Xenopus tropicalis: one gene and its partner. The protein of the gene in region 2 purifies or fractionates together with the protein of the main gene of each other region. This does not show direct contact. Links are inferred from orthologs where the notes say so. Each region holds a gene or a part of one and is shown on either strand. Other genes may lie near its edges.

Region 1 (7,868 bases), on a different chromosome or scaffold from region 2:
CTATTGTGAGGAGTTTGCCCTCTGTAGAAACCTTGGGTTGCACTTCTGTCATCTGCTCAGACAAGACTGGCACCTTGACCACCAACCAGATGTCTGTGTGCAGAGTAAGTTCAGCCTTATGTTATTAAATACCTAGATTATCACCAGGTTATCCCATTCAATAGACTTCTAGTCCAGTTGCAATTCCATGGTCCATCAATTGCAAAACCTAAAAACTGTTTTCTTGACCCTAGATGTTCGTGCTCGACAAAGTTGATGGTGACATCTGCTCCTTGAATGAATTCTCCATCACAGGATCCACCTATGCCCCAGAGGGAGAAGTGTGAGTACTTATTGTCTTTTACATACACAGCTCAACACATCTTTTCTCCAACCCTGTTTGGGTCTCAATGGAACATACCACATATAGCAGTGATCCCCAACCATTGGCTTGGGGGCAACATGTTGCCCAAACCAGCTAGTTATTTTTGAATTCCTGACTTTTGGTTGAATAAAAACAAGATTTCCTACCAAATAGAGCCCCCTGTAAGCTGATAGGGTGCATAGAGGCTGCTTAATAGCCAATCACAGCCCTTATTTGGCTCCTCCATGAACTGTTATGGTGCTTGTGTCCAAGTCTTTTTACATGTGACTGTGGCTCACAGAAAGGTTGGGGTTCCCTGACATATAGTGTCTCTGTGCTGAGGGCTGTTGGGGTGACTAGGAGAGAAGAGAAAGTTCTCACTGACCTTCCATCAACCCCTTTCATGGTTTCATCCAACATTTTAATCTTTTTACACACTCTCCTCTATTTTCTCTGCTTCCTATGGCTAGTAGCATCATATCTCCCAAATCCCATTCACACTTTATTATCCATGTTTATCTCTCCATTTTTTTCTCAACTTCACAATCCTCATTTCTTCATTTTCTTTCTTTTTCTTTTCCTATACCGACCTTTCCTTCATGTCACCCTGCACTGCCATGTTCTTTCCAACCTCTGTCTCTCAGTCTGAAGAACGATAAGTCCGTGAAAGCTGGCCAGTATGATGGGCTGGTTGAATTGGCCACAATCTGTGCACTTTGCAATGACTCTTCTCTCGACTACAATGAGGTAAAATCAGAGATGATGAATATCCCCATGTTTAGATGTTCTCTTATCCCTAATTGGTTACATTCTGTGATGGGCAAGTTCTAGAGCAATACTAAGTTAACATAAAGATACTGGAAAGGTTGTTGTAGTTAATTGGAAAGGTTCTGGGCCAGAACTGCTCCATTTTATGATTTCCATACTCAAGCTGTAGAATCTGGACCCATAGGAGGTATATTATGGGCTTAGACATGTTGTGATTCTGTTTTAGCTCTAGGCCTTTTGACATTTGATACATTGACATGTACAGAGAGTGAGGTTTATGCTTATTCTAAGCCTCAGCATAGAAAGTCAGACTGACCTTCCATATTTCTCTGACAGTCCAAAGGAGTCTTTGAGAAGGTTGGAGAAGCCACCGAGACTGCACTGACAACTCTTGTTGAGAAAATGAATGTGTTCAACACAGAAGTGAGGAGCCTGTCCAAAGTGGAGCGCGCCAACGCCTGCAACTCTGTGAGTACCGGCGCCATTGTGGAGCTCTAGCGCCATCGGTCAATATAGAATGTACAAGCCCGCTCACAAAGGGCCTACTACTTCAAATCCCTACAACAAAACCATTACCCTTTCATGGTGCCCACATTTCCCCAACTACCATGGCCATATAACTTTCTCATACCCATAAATACTCCACCTCATGGGATATGTTACACCAGCTGCCAGCCCGGTACTGTTATTGATACCCTATTATGCAACAGGCTGCCTGCAATGTATCATCAACGTTTCTACACCATGCACCTGCCTCCTACTTGTCATGACCAAGAAACTTAATGATAGCATGTTGTAACCTACTACCCCAAGCAGCTGCCATTGTAGAATTATATAGAGCCAGCAGAGTGTCATGTAACTCCAGCCTAGTAAGCCTGGGGCCAGGTCTTTCCAAGGCTTCACCACCCTAAGGATTCTGGGCTATTGCTGACCAACATGTGCTTGTTTTGGAACTAAAGTCTCTTGATGCTATAATGTACATTATAATGGCACAAAAACAAATGAACGTCCCACAATGCTCTGTTGTTAACAGAAAAATTACCCCCACATCCACAGGTGATCAAGCAGTTGATGAAGAAAGAGTTCACCCTGGAGTTCTCCCGTGACAGGAAGTCAATGTCCGTCTACTGCACCCCAGCCAAAGCTTCCCGCGCTGCCGTTGGCAACAAGATGTTTGTGAAGGTGACATTTTGGGATATTACTATCAGTACAATACATTCTATATAGCTGCACCCCCTTTTCTCAACCTTCAATCTATATGTACTCTTCCCTATGACAGGGTGCCCCAGAGGGTGTCATTGACAGGTGCAACTACGTACGTGTGGGCACAACCCGCGTTCCACTTACTCCAGCCATCAAGGATAAGATTCTGACTGTGATCAAGGAATGGGGAACCGGCAGAGACACTCTGCGTTGTCTTGCTCTGGCTACAAGGGACACCCCACCCAAAAGGGAAGAGATGGTGCTCGATGACGCCACCAAGTTTGTTGACTATGAGGTAGAGTTTACATTTTATAATCTAGCTTTATTTATTTTCTTCAACCCATCAAAACCTTGAATCATTCACACGAACAAAACTCCTCTGCTAAGCGTAAGAGGGCAATGAGGTATCAATGAGGTATCGGTAAAGTTGGAAGCAACTATCATTGACCATTACTCTCTTCCTTCAGACTGATCTCACCTTCGTTGGTTGCGTGGGCATGTTGGACCCCCCTCGTAAAGAAGTCATGGGCTCAATCAAGCTCTGTCGTGAGGCTGGTATCCGTGTCATTATGATCACTGGTGACAACAAAGGAACAGCCATTGCCATCTGCCGTCGTATTGGCATCTTCGGTGAGGATGACGATGTGTCTAGATGTGCCTTCACTGGACGTGAGTTTGATGACCTGCCCCCTACAGAACAAAGAGAGGCCTGCAAGCGTGCTTCCTGCTTTGCCAGAGTGGAGCCCACACACAAGTCCAAGATCGTAGAGTTCCTGCAATCCTTCGATGAGATCACAGCTATGGTGAGTGCTGGGGAAGCTCAATACAACCCTATAGTAAAGCCTCTAAAGCAATACATCCCATTCTGGTGCCGTCTCTTGATGCATAAGTCACTGTCTAATTTTTACTTTCACAGACTGGTGATGGTGTGAATGATGCCCCAGCTCTGAAAAAGGCTGAGATTGGTATTGCTATGGGCTCTGGTACTGCTGTGGCCAAGACAGCCTCTGAGATGGTGTTGGCCGATGACAACTTCTCCACAATTGTGGCTGCAGTAGAAGAAGGCCGTGCCATCTACAACAACATGAAGCAGTTTATCCGCTACCTCATCTCTTCCAATGTAGGAGAGGTTGTCTGGTGAGTACAAACAGGGTCTCTGTTGAAGTTCTGCTATAAGAAAAAGTGCATTAGGGCAAAACCCCTTACTGGTCCTGTTTTACCCATCTCCACTCTATAGTATCTTCTTGACTGCTGCTCTGGGTCTTCCTGAAGCTCTGATCCCTGTTCAACTGCTGTGGGTCAACCTGGTCACAGATGGTCTGCCAGCCACAGCCCTGGGCTTTAACCCCCCAGATCTTGACATTATGGACAGGCCACCTCGTAGCCCCAAGGAGCCCCTGATCAGTGGATGGCTTTTCTTCCGTTACTTGGCCATTGGAGGTAATGATGCGTGCCATCTATCACTGCAGCTTCCTCAGTTATCTCACTACAGATACTTAAAATATAATGGGTCTGTACCATGACTCTTCATTGGTTCACTTTGTATCTGTAGGTTATGTGGGTGCCGCCACTGTTGGAGCAGCTGCCTGGTGGTTCATGTATGCCGATGATGGACCTGAAGTTACTTTCTACCAGCTGGTGAGGATGCCTTTTCTCATTGCCAATCCTGTGCCACCCTTTCTCCCACTTACCCAGTTTCTCTACATCATTATCCTTACTGTCTTCTTCCAAACAGTTCCAAATCTACATTCTTTTAGCTTTTATTCTCTATCTAGAATGTAAAGTTGGAGAAGATCTTGTTAAGGTGGCGCGCTATCTACTGTAGAACAAATGACCATGCTGATTTTGCACTAAAACAATAGCTTTCCAGATGGTTCAGTCAATAATTTTCCATCCGTAGACTTCATTTCCTAGTAGATTCCTAGTAGATTTTCCAGCTACTGACATGTTTTTGATATTCTTACTTTAGAGCCATTTCATGCAGTGCACTGAGGAAAATGCTGACTTTGAGGGTCTGGAGTGTGAAATCTTTGAGTCTCCTGTACCCATGACCATGGCTCTGTCTGTGCTGGTCACCATTGAAATGTGCAATGCCCTCAACAGGTAAGAACCATTTCATACCTTCCTTCTGGTGTCATATCTATGTCCCTTCCTCTCTCTCGCTTAAAGCCCTATTTCCCATATCTCATTTAATTGTTGTTCCTAATTCTGATCTTTTCCCCTACAGTCTGTCAGAGAACCAGTCTCTGGTCAGGATGCCCCCATGGGTGAACATCTGGCTGTTGGGCTCTATCTGCTTGTCCATGTCCCTCCACTTCCTTATCCTCTATGTTGAGCCACTTCCAGTAAGTACATAGACCTTCTCTGTCTCTAAGTAATTCTTTATATTATTCTACTGCCATTGAGCTTTTGGAGAGTTGTCCCCACATCATTTTGTCTGTAGAGCTGCATTATCTTTTAGTAAAACAATTTGAGATAGTGAAATACAGTGATTGGCTCAAACAGAATCACATGAGTACAACGTATATTCTATATGATGTTGATGAGCATTATACAAACCACCGTTGGACATTTAACCCTAGAGCATTTGATTCCCTGAGTTCACTGCCAACGTTCTTCTCTACAGATGATCTTCAAGTTGACTCCTCTGAACTTCACTCAGTGGTTTGTTGTCCTGAAGATTTCCATCCCTGTCATCCTGTTGGATGAACTGTTGAAATTTGTTGCTCGTAACTACCTGGAAGGTAAGTCCCAGCTCATCCTTTTGCCACAGTTGGCAGCATTTCCAATCACCATTTCTAAAAGAATCTTTGAGGCCACCACGTGCCGTATGTACAATATATCTCAAAGTAGCACTGATATCTGCATTGTACAGCTTGCCTGCTGGGTGTAGAAACTGGGCAAGCCCAATACTCATCTCTTTGGATGATTTCTTCTCCCTCCTTATCTCAGTAACCCCAACAATCTGTTCTAATAATTGGCTGGAACAGTAATAGTCTTGTCTAAACCTTCTTCCTGGCTTCAAAATGGAATAGTCAGGGTTGGTACCAACCCAATATCCATATCTGTCCAACCCCTGCCCATGCCTAGAACAATAGTTGTTGATGAATTCATGCAAGATCCACCAGAAGCCATTCTTCTGAAGCCTTGTTCTTGCTATGATAAAGCCCATTGCTGACCTCTTTGCTGCAAGACCTTATGTGTGGACCTTTAGTGGTGTGAAGATCCCATAGACTCAGCAAAGCTCAGGGTTGAACATCAACACTACGTTGAGCTGCACAGGTCAGATTAACCCGTGCATCCCAGAGTGAAGAGGCTAAATCCCTGGTGCCAGACAGTAGCATTACAGGTAGAAGGCACCCAGGGTCACCAACCTTACCTAATGACCAAAGCACAGACTTGAGGATGAGGTGTGAGGGACATCAAACTGGTCTAATAATATTTATGTGGGTTTATAGGAACAATGATTTTAATTTTATTTCAATGTGTTTTTTTTATTACATATTTGGTTTCGGTTCCCCTTAATGTTATATCTCATAAGCATCAACATCATTATTTCTTTTCATGATTAATCCCTAACCTTTTTATCCTTTCCCTTAGCATAATCTTTACCACTCCACCACCTTGTTCCTGCCTAAGAGGTATCCCATAATTCTTGCGCTTCCTGTCTCAGCCATCTTTATGTTGTGCTGCAGGCTTTCTGGTGTCCCATTTTTATTCCTCCCCACTATGTTTCCCCATCACAACCTAGATGTGTTGGCTTCTGTACATGTCCTGGTGGTTCCCTGGCTCCCTGTATGTGACCATAAGGGACTCACCATCAGTTCCTGTGACACTTCCATGCCACTTTGTAGACAATTCACCACAAGCTTCCCCTCCATGAGCATCTGGCCTATCCTACAATGCCACCATACTTCCTGCTCCCTAACGTTAGACTTCCCATTGACTACCATGACACTTCCTAGTCACTGCCATCCTGCTGCCTGTTCACTTTGGCCACTTTGGCGCACCTGTGCCAGAGCAGTTCAGCAAGGCTACCTGCCATTCCCTTAGCTCCTTCCCCAGGATGATAGCCTCACCGCCCATGACCATGGTCCTACTAACCACTTACTATTTGTTACCCATGCATTCAATCTTCTTCTGGTCACTTTGACCTTTCCCCAGCCCAATGCAGAAGGTCATAACAAGTATGTATGGTTTCTAACTAATCAATTACTATGGCCTACCAAGACTTTTCTACTTCACTTTGTACCCTACTGGGGAAGCAACGCACTCTGAGCACCTGTGGTTTCCACTTGATGTTCTTTATTATGATATATTTCTCTTTATTCCCCTTACCTAGTACAGTCCCTCCACTGAATAGCACTCCCTGTAACTACTCTCCCTCCACAGACACTTCCACGCCAGCTTTCTCTGTCCTTTCAGCTAATGGTTCCAGTGTAGCAAAACGTGTTGCTCCTGTGCCTCCTGTTTCTGTGCTAAGGCAAAATGGGGGTGTCATTGTGCATATTGGCGGCTATGCTGTGCCACGTGCCTCTGCACTATATGTCTTTGTGTTCTTATGTGGCCTCATGTTCAGTGGTTCTTTGCTCACATTTACTGCCGCAGCTGATTTATGCAATGCTCGTGCAAGACTCGTGGCCAGTTTCAGTAAAGACTTGGCACCCCAATGTGCACCCCAATGTGCAACACCGACTGGCACCTTCATTAGTGTGTTACGTCTGGGTTAGGAGCTTCCTCTAGACTTCCAGGTTGATCACTAAACTCATTTATAGAAACCTGAAGGCCCTTAGCCTATAATCTTGGTATTAATGACCTGTAATGACCAATGTGCCGGATATTGGCCTGACCTGTTAGTTAGCTGGAAATGTAACGGGATCCATTATAACTCTATATAGAGTTTTTTGGCTCAGAGGAGACACATTGAAGGGGAAGGTAGGGGGTACGTTTCTTTGCTCTAGAGATTCCAGTCTGGACTGATGAGGCAGAGAAGGGTAGGTAGGTATTCTAGTCAAGACCCGTGAGGGAGAGATGGGTAGGTAGGTATTCTAGTCAAGATCAGTGAGGCAGAGAAGGGTTGGTAGGTATCCTAGTCAAGACCGGTGAGGGAGAGAAGGGTGGGTAGGTATTCTAGTCAAGACCGGTGAGGGAGAGAAGGGTGGGTAGGTATTCTAGTCAAGACCGGTGAGGGAGAGAAGGGTGGGTAGGTATTCTAGTCAAGACCCGTGAGGGAGAGATGGGTAGGTAGGTATCCTAGTCAAGATCAGTGAGGCAGAGAAGGGTTGGTAGGTATCCTAGTCAAGACCGGTGAGGGAGAGAAGGGTGGGTAGGTATTCTAGTCAAGACCCGTGAGGGAGAGATGGGTAGGTAAGATTAAGATCAGTGATGGAGAGATGGGTAGGTAGGTAGGTAGGTATTCTAGTCAAGATCAATGAGGCAGAGAAGGGTAGGTATTCTAATCGGGACTGGAGGGGCAGCAGCTTATAATGATGCTTATGACTTGACTTTTGCACCAATCAAAGCTTAGCATGGGGGCGCATTGAGAACGAATGTA
Region 2 (8,516 bases):
CTAAAATGAGTACAGATTGTATCCATATGCTGTCAACTTTCTTTACTGTAATAAGTGTGTTAGCTATACACGCAACTTGCACCACAACTATAGTAATTACTGATGCAATTACTTATATATCCATGTCTGACATCACAAAGTGGGCAGCGTAAGTATAGAAATTAAATGTGACAGTGGCATTTGAACGGGGCAGTTTATCAGAGGACTGGGGAAAAGGAGCAGTGGGAAGGATCCTTAACCTCATTTGCCCGATCTAGCCAGAAAGTAGGGTGCACCCGAACGCTCTAGATCTTGTGGGTATTGGGCCAGCACCAAACCACTGCTGTACAGCACATGAAATTAACTATGAAACGCTACTTAGGCACACAGCCCTCTAGAATAGAATGCAATTGCCAAGTTTCTACCTAGGGGTCGGTCGGTGCTCCATTTAGGACAGAAATCTTACTTATCTTTCCCAGGAGTGCATACTCTGCACATGTGCAGTAGAGTAACACAAGTGTTTAGTGTGCACTAAAGAGTGTGTGAGTGGTGCTGTGTTTTTTTTTTCTAAAAGAAGCACAGGTCATGAAAAAAAAAATGAGTGATTGCATCTACTAGGTGGTGCCTAACATACTGACAGCCCTCAGTGATGGAGGCTTTCCTTGTCCTGTAGGGTTTATGACTAACAACAATTTGTCAAATTCCAGCAGCCACCAAGTTTCCTAAAATATTTTTTTAGTTCAAGATACTGGGGGTCACTACATGTAAAACACATAACAAGTTGCAATGCAGCTTAATCATGGCAAAATGTGGAAGATTCCATTTTCCTGCAATTTAACCAGATTGCTGCATGTAAAACACTTCACATGTGGAGATCCCCCCCAGTCTCCTATTTTTAGGCACTGTCACTAATGGGAGAGGTGAAAGAGTGACAATAAATTATGTGAATGCAGCTGTGCAACTGCATGCAGTGCTGCTTTATTAATGCAAACAAATTATACAAAGCACAAATCAGTCACAGTTAGATCATGCAAGTTACAACGCAGTGTATCTCAGGATATTAGCTGTACCAAAAAGCAAGAAGGGCATTCTTAAAGGAACATGGATCATCAAACCATTCCTGTTATTGGGGGGGGGGGAAAATGAAATCCATTGATACTCCATTCCTTGTTACTAACTATACCCAGTTTCTTGGGACAGACCCATAACGACAACTGCATGGTAATGTTTTCCAAGAGATTATATTTAATGACATACACTTCTGCCTACTATATACCTCCAACACTGTCCATGTCTCTGAAATTCTAAAGGACTAATGGTCCCAAGTGTGCCTGAAACTGCAGTCTACTCATTTTCTGTTTAATGTACTAGCATTAATGAATTTTCCTTTTTAGGGAAGGTATGAAAAGGCAGCTTTGAGCTGACATTACATTAGGACTAGGATTCTCTGTCACTTCTGCACAAATCTATTCTACTAAACATGCAGACTTTCAAGTGAAAATGTAATGATATTGTAACACAGCATAAAAGGTTAATTTTCATCATATTTAATTATCCAATTGCTTAACTTATACTGTCTTATTTTCAATGACCTTATAAATGTATTACTTATATATTGAAATTTTTTTGTATGCCTTAGAAACTCATTTTCTGTTACTCTTCTTATAAATTGTATCATGGTCCTTTCTAGCTAGCAGATAAAGAGTACAGAGTTTGTCAGGAGTCTTGAGGAATAATTCCTCTGATATTCATCCTTTATGTGCCATAAAGCAAGATAGGGCTGTTGTTAGAACTAAAAAGGCAGAATAAACACCACTTTATAACAGGGTACACTACAACTACAAAAGGACACATAAAAAAACTGTGTACATGATTATACTCAAGAACATTTTTTGAAAGCTTAAATAGTTCCTAAGCAAAGTTTCTATAGATGTCAGTGGGAACTGTCTCAATTAAGTTTATTTAATTTATTTTTTTCCCAGTTGAGATTTCCAGCCTTATTCAAATTGACTATTATTATTTTTCAAAATGGCATACCCCTCAATAGAGCAGTTACCACCACCTACTAAGATTTCTTTAATGTAATAACACCTGACAGATCACTCAGAATTATGGTTAATTAGTTCATCTCTATATCCTAAGCCAGGGGTCATTAGACACTTTCAAATGTAAAAAGATTTGGGGAGGAAAACAAGCATAAAAATATGCACCTGGGGTACTAAATAAGGACTATGATTGGTCATTTGAGATCCCATATGTGGACTAGTAGCCTACAGGAGAGTCTGTTTGGCAGTACACCTGGTTTTATGCAACTAAACCAAGGCAGAAATTTAAAAATAAGCACCTTCTCTGGGGCAACTGGGAGCAATATCTATGGGGCTGGTAAACAACATTTTGCTCCCAAACCAGTGGTTTGGGACCACTCCTAAGGGCTCTGGCACACGGGGAGATTAGTCGCCCGCGGCAAAACTCCATGTTCGCGGGCGACCAATCTCTCCGAGTTGCCTTCCCCCTGCATCCCACCGGCGAACATGTAAGTCACCCGCGAACAGGGAGTTTTGCCGCGGGCGACTAATCTCCCCGTGTGCCAGAGCCCTAAACCTTTACATGGCTTGTTAATAATGCTTGCCATTAAGAAATACTTTGCATTTTAACTGCCACAATAAAGCTTTTTCACACAAGTGTGACAATACATTTTTCTGCAAAGTCCATTGTTAATAAGAAGAAACAAGTACACAACCACTTGTAGCAGAACAGAAAGAGAAGTCGGTAAAACAAATGCAAGATTTCACATACACAAAAAATATAATCTATAATTATATTAGTGGTCCCAAATGAACATGTTTTATCTTAAGCTAGTATTTTCTTACAGCTTTTATCCAAAAACTTTAGTGCAGATAATTAGGTAAACAACAGTTGATTTGCATTTTTAGAACTATGTCAATCAAATAGCCCATTCGTTTATGGGAAGAACTGCAACAGAGAACTTGCAGGCACATAACAATTATTATGTTTTATCAGTTCATCTCACTCTAAGGGAACTTTTGATTAATTCTAAGGAAGGAAACCACAGCCAATCTTAACAACAAACTGCAAAATTCTTTCCAAATATCAGGAGTCCTGCCTCTCACTGCGATTCTGCTTCCAACCACCCCTCACTCTCTCATTTCCACACCTCCTCAATTGTTGTAATAAACTGAGCGACAGCCCCCAGCCCTGCCACTGAGCTCAAGGCAAGCTGCCGAACACTTCCCACTGCAAAACTACTTACTAACAACAAAATTTCAATAAGGTAAGGGCATCTGCACTGTGAAACTAAATAATATTGCTTTTTAACATGCTTTGCATGTTGGCTTGCAGATCAAAGCAGCTTTATCCTGATACATACATTTCAGTCTGCAACTAAAATTGTCATCTAATTTACATGTAAGTGATATGAGTAGGTTTTAATTTTCAGTCTGCAATTCATTTATTTGGAATTCCTATTTTCAGCTAATAAAAGAAAAAGAAAGGTATTACAACCAGTTGTATAAGCTTGGGATTATTTGCAAAGATATGCAGCATCCATATTATATTTAGCTGACTGTCTCACAGACAATTATGTCCCTTGTGGGCTGTAAAAATATTGCTCTTTTAACAGACAGCTGCCAGCATTCTAGGGGGTTCTGGGAAATATAGCTTTTAACAGCTGGATGGGCTCTTTGACGTCTGTAGAACAGTATATAATGTAAATTATATTTATTGTAAGAAAATACTTTAATGTATGTCAATAGAATAATGGAATACATTTGTCAAACTCATCAGTTCCCCATGTCTTGGAACTTCAGATGTATTATTTTTAGGGCTGCTGAATGCAAATAAACACTGGAAATAGTCATGTATTTCTAATGCTGGGAAGCATGTTTGTGATAGCATGGGGAGGTCAAAATGTTAATGAGAAAGGTTCTCATAGGCATTTAGCCTGGAAACCAAGCCAAAAACTATGGAAGGAAATGTAATTGAGGCATTACAGCACAAAGAAAAAAAAAGTAGGGGGAAATATTTTAGTAGAGTGTTGGAAACTGGAAAGTAAGTCTGAGCACCATAGCCTATATTTCCTATATAGTATCACAAGGGCAAAAAGTGGCCCACATAGCAACTTTTTGAATGCTCTATGGCTCACTGTAATTGCTTACTCTGTTTAGATCTGCAGACGAGCAATTTTAAAGAGATAGAGTCTTGAGACTTTGCACCCTGTATATAAATGAGCAAAGCTTTAGCTAGTTGTTTTCTTTAAGCTCTGTATATACAGGCATTTGTCTTGCTGTTGGTGATGCACTTCCCAGTGTACACATTTACCACAGATGAACACTGTCCAGAGGGAGTGCATCTTCAGATCAGCATGACATGTTTCAGCTCAGTTCACCAGCAGGCAACACAGAATATAGAACATCAAAATGGCTCATTATGCAAAATATAAATACCACTATAAATAGTCACTGTTGGTGGTGCAACATGTTCCCTGGATACCTGGCCAGCCATTTACCATTTAAATAAAAGATCAGGACTCAAACAGTCCAATTTTAATTTACCCAACACCAATAGTGACCAAGGGGGTATGACCTTCCTTCTTCAGGGTATGTGATACATATATAGATTGAAACAAATATTGTGGAAATACACAATAATTTATAAGTGTAATAATTTCTTCTATTTTTAGATGGATATTCAGCTATATATTAGCTGTATTTTACCTGCATGTACAACACTAATTATAATGTTGCAGTCTTTTCATGAAACTTTCATGTCAAAGGGAGGAGCTGATTTTGGGTGCTTTTCAACCAGATAAAAAGGGTAAAATAAAAATCACACTGTGTGCCATCAAACTAGATATCCTTCAAATGCAAATAAAACAAATGTGGTTAAAATCCAATGCAGCAATCTGCATCCAAATGTTGCTTTTACATAAGAAGTAAGGCCAAGTTTGGGCAATCTACAAACCTCCAGAATTTGACTTAATGGCTAGCCCAAGATCATGAAATACTTTACTTTAGAGGGGAGTGTTGTTTGTGACATTCCTGGCCAAGCAGTAGTTAATACCTAATAACATAATCCTTTTGTTTACCAGGAATAATTTCAAGAGCCAGGCGGAGTAAGGGACTATTGGCCATGGCTCAGGGAGTACAAGCTATCCCACATAACAAACAGCACAAATAGTTTCATAATTTCTCCACTGGTGACCTTTTCCAAATCCAATATGATCTTTAGCCTACCCAAGGGCTTTAGTAAACTATGAAGGGGCATTCTTGCATCAGCCTTATTTTATTTCTTTGTAACGATTTCAAGTTTAAAAAAAAAAAAAAAAAAATAGTGGAAAAGAAACATTTTAATAAGTGGGTTAACCCACCTCCTATATAAAGCATGATAAAATTGTTTTGAAAGACAAATGTAAAAGTTTATTACAATAATAAAAAGAATACACCCTTATTACACTTTGCTGTCACTGTAAGCTTCATGAATGAACTTACTTGTGTTTGTTCACTTGAATTTATTTAACCATGACCTTTTACAAACGTATCTTATGTGAAGAGCCGAATGGGAAAAAAAATTATACTTTTGCTGGCCAAAAAAATCAAGACAAATGCTGGAATGCCTCCTAGGCTTTACTAAGCAATAGCTTTAATAATGAATCATCTCTCAGACAAGGATCTTACACAAAAATGGAAACAAGTATCTTTTTCTAAAAACAGTATATAACTTATAACCTTAACTCATCAGTACAATGCCTCTACACTACAATGAATTTGAAATTCAGTAGATATTTACTTTTGGTAATCTGCACATCAAACGGTCTGTCCAGCTGGAGGCCCATGGGCTAGATGCAGTCCTCTAAGTTATTTTTTGCTTCATGGACATATCTGAATGAGCCTGTGATATAAATGGGCTACACATATGCATTTAGAATTGTGTGTAGTTTGATTTTTGTGTTAAAATATTTCAGAGGATGCAAATAACTCATAGTATACAACTCTTTCCTGATATAACATGAATTAAGACTTTTTTTTTTTTTTTGTTAGCTGATCCTTTAGCTAGCAGCATATCATGTGTACATGCCATGCACCCCCAATACTCTCTGGCAGAAAGTTTCCAGTCTAGTGTCCTCCTACAAGTTTCAAGCTTCAAATTATATATCTCTAGAAAGCTCAGTAACTTGTGTAGTTGGTACACAGCGTGGCCTTGTGTGTTCTGGCCTTTATTATAATAAAGGTACAGGCTGTAGGTACATGGAGTAGCTCTTGGTACTGTTACTTGTTCTTCTAGTGCATGAACATACAGGACACACAAGTAGCATACAAGGGACCACAGACACTGGGGCTGCTTGCTAGAATTATGAAGAATTTTTATCTTTATTTTTGTCCCACTTTAGTTTCACTGAACAGTCAACCACATAAGGACCGTTTATTACTATGGTGTCAAGCAGCCTGCTAATATATAGTGCAGACCACTGCATACCTATAAACACAGCAGTATATACCTCTGGTTTGTATCTCTCCATAAGATTAGCGTTGAAATCCCAGTCAAAACTGGAATGCTCAACAGCCCAGACCGACTGAGTTTTCTTAACCTAATATGGAATGTAAAATCAAGCAGCAGTATCTCACAAAAAGACTAATTTAAAACCAAATATTCACCTTAAGGCTAAAAAAATGTAGAGAAATAAAAACAGAAAACAAAAATAACAGCGGAGAAGCAGATGTGTCTGTTAATAAATAACTATAACAATAATCACATGTATATATTATTGCATTCACTTGACATAAATGGCAACTAATCAGCAGTTAGAGATGACAGATTTTCTGCTGTTTGATTAATGAAAGCAATGATGATAGGTAACTGGTTTAAGAGAGCATTCCTGTGTTTACAGGAATAATGTTGTGTGTTTTACAGATTGATTACATTTCTTCTATATAGAATGTAGCACTGTAATATAAGTTCTGACCATGAGAAAGAGATCACTGGGAGGTACTTTGACCCTATAAGAAATGTGTGTTTTTATGATCCTTGGGGACTTACTTTCTCTCTTGTGCTAACATTTATATATTTTACAATATGCAAAGCTAGTCTGAGAAGTAACAAGTTATCTGTAAACTAAAATAACATATTTTTATGGTGCACGCATCAGCCGTAGTGTGGAGTCTGCATGGAGCAGTGATGCTTAGTAACTTGCATGATTTACTTGCACTTTAAGGTCCCTAACTCTCCACTCTACTACTTACCCAGCTTCAAGTGAGGGAGAAGATTCAGGCCCTTTCTTTTCAACGAACACGGACACAACTTTCTCTCTGTCTGCACTGCACTATAATCTGTCACCTGCACCTCTCTGCCCTCTCGTGTAGCCATGGAGAAGGTCCAGCACATAACCCGCTCGGCTATGAGGAGAGCCTCAAACATTGAGGTCAACCCACAGACCCGGCAAAACCTGCAGGAGCTTTTTGTCAATTTCTCTCTGATTCTTATTTGCCTGTTGCTCATCTGTATAATTGTCATGCTTCTCTGAGGCTTCCTACTGCGTACAAGAAAGACAGACTATACATATGCCTACTGAAAGGAATTGGCACTCACCTCTGTAAAGATGTGGCACTATTTATAAGCTTGCACAATGGTTAGTCTCCCAATTGTGTATACAGTGTACTATTTTATTGTATGTATTGTATGTAAGTTCCATTTCTAACTATTAATTGCATACAGTGGGATGTTTATAAATGGCTGTCCTTGTATTAGATGGCTATATTTATAGAGGTAGCATACAACAGTTCTTGCCATTATCTGTCATCCTGGAAACCTGCATAGTCTTGGTTACTGTTAGTTGTATGTTGTCTTCTTACTGTGTTCATTATGATGGTGTGTGAACATTAAATATAAGCATGATCACAGCCCCTGAATTTTAATTTGCTAATCACTAAGTTGCAACATTTCCAAGAATATTACATTTGACCTAGACTATATTTTAGGCATTGTATTGCTGATATTTTAACAAAACACATGCAACATACACAGGCCACATCTAAATGCAAGCTGTTAGTTTTATTGTACACACAACAAAATGTAGTGGTTCAGTACCTTTGGCCTTAGTGTTAGTAGAAGTGTCATCAATAAATTTGTCCTAAGTAAACTCAACAAAAAAATTCTCTTTTCAGAACACAAGACATTTATCTGGTGTGATTTTTCCCCATAACAATAATACAAACTTATGTAAACAGCAGTAAAGATTATTCATTGTCTGACAAACAAACAAGAATAAGCAGACAATTTATGAAGACACTGCCCCTATGGAGACACCTGCTTTAGACACACACCTGTGTTTCATTCCACAATTTATCTCAACTGCTTTATACTAACAAAATAAAAATGAGAAAATCTTTGCAATCTTTTCAAAGAAATAGGGTTTCGGTTTTTTTTTCTAAACAATTTGCAAAAAAAAGACAGGAGAGTATGCATCTAAATGCAATGTTACACAGTCATCTATATTAAACTAAGTACACAAAAATATTAAAAAG

The links. The genes of interacting proteins can lie anywhere in the genome.
Region 1: the proteins of pln (region 2) and atp2a1 purify together in Homo sapiens (affinity purification with western blotting, with the first as the bait; 3 studies listed by BioGRID). This does not show direct contact. The link is inferred for Xenopus tropicalis from reciprocal best matches to the Homo sapiens genes PLN and ATP2A1.

The regions. Positions count from the first base shown.
Region 1 is NC_030685.2:602,690-610,557, reverse strand, and holds part of atp2a1 (sarcoplasmic/endoplasmic reticulum calcium ATPase 1), read left to right. Parts: coding exon 1-104; intron 105-233; coding exon 234-322; intron 323-987; coding exon 988-1,090; intron 1,091-1,447; coding exon 1,448-1,579; intron 1,580-2,167; coding exon 2,168-2,293; intron 2,294-2,390; coding exon 2,391-2,609; intron 2,610-2,781; coding exon 2,782-3,117; intron 3,118-3,230; coding exon 3,231-3,451; intron 3,452-3,551; coding exon 3,552-3,754; intron 3,755-3,866; coding exon 3,867-3,952; intron 3,953-4,283; coding exon 4,284-4,417; intron 4,418-4,541; coding exon 4,542-4,659; intron 4,660-4,940; coding exon 4,941-5,058; intron 5,059-5,914; coding exon 5,915-5,919; 3' UTR 5,920-5,955; intron 5,956-7,868. UniProt on the Homo sapiens protein: Key regulator of striated muscle performance by acting as the major Ca(2+) ATPase responsible for the reuptake of cytosolic Ca(2+) into the sarcoplasmic reticulum.
Region 2 is NC_030681.2:73,812,765-73,821,280, reverse strand, and holds the start of pln (cardiac phospholamban), read left to right. Parts: upstream 1-3,164; 5' UTR 3,165-3,271; intron 3,272-7,207; exon of another isoform or gene 7,208-7,239; 5' UTR 7,240-7,357; coding exon 7,358-7,516; 3' UTR 7,517-7,621; intron 7,622-8,516. UniProt on the Homo sapiens protein: Reversibly inhibits the activity of ATP2A2/SERCA2 in cardiac sarcoplasmic reticulum by decreasing the apparent affinity of the ATPase for Ca(2+).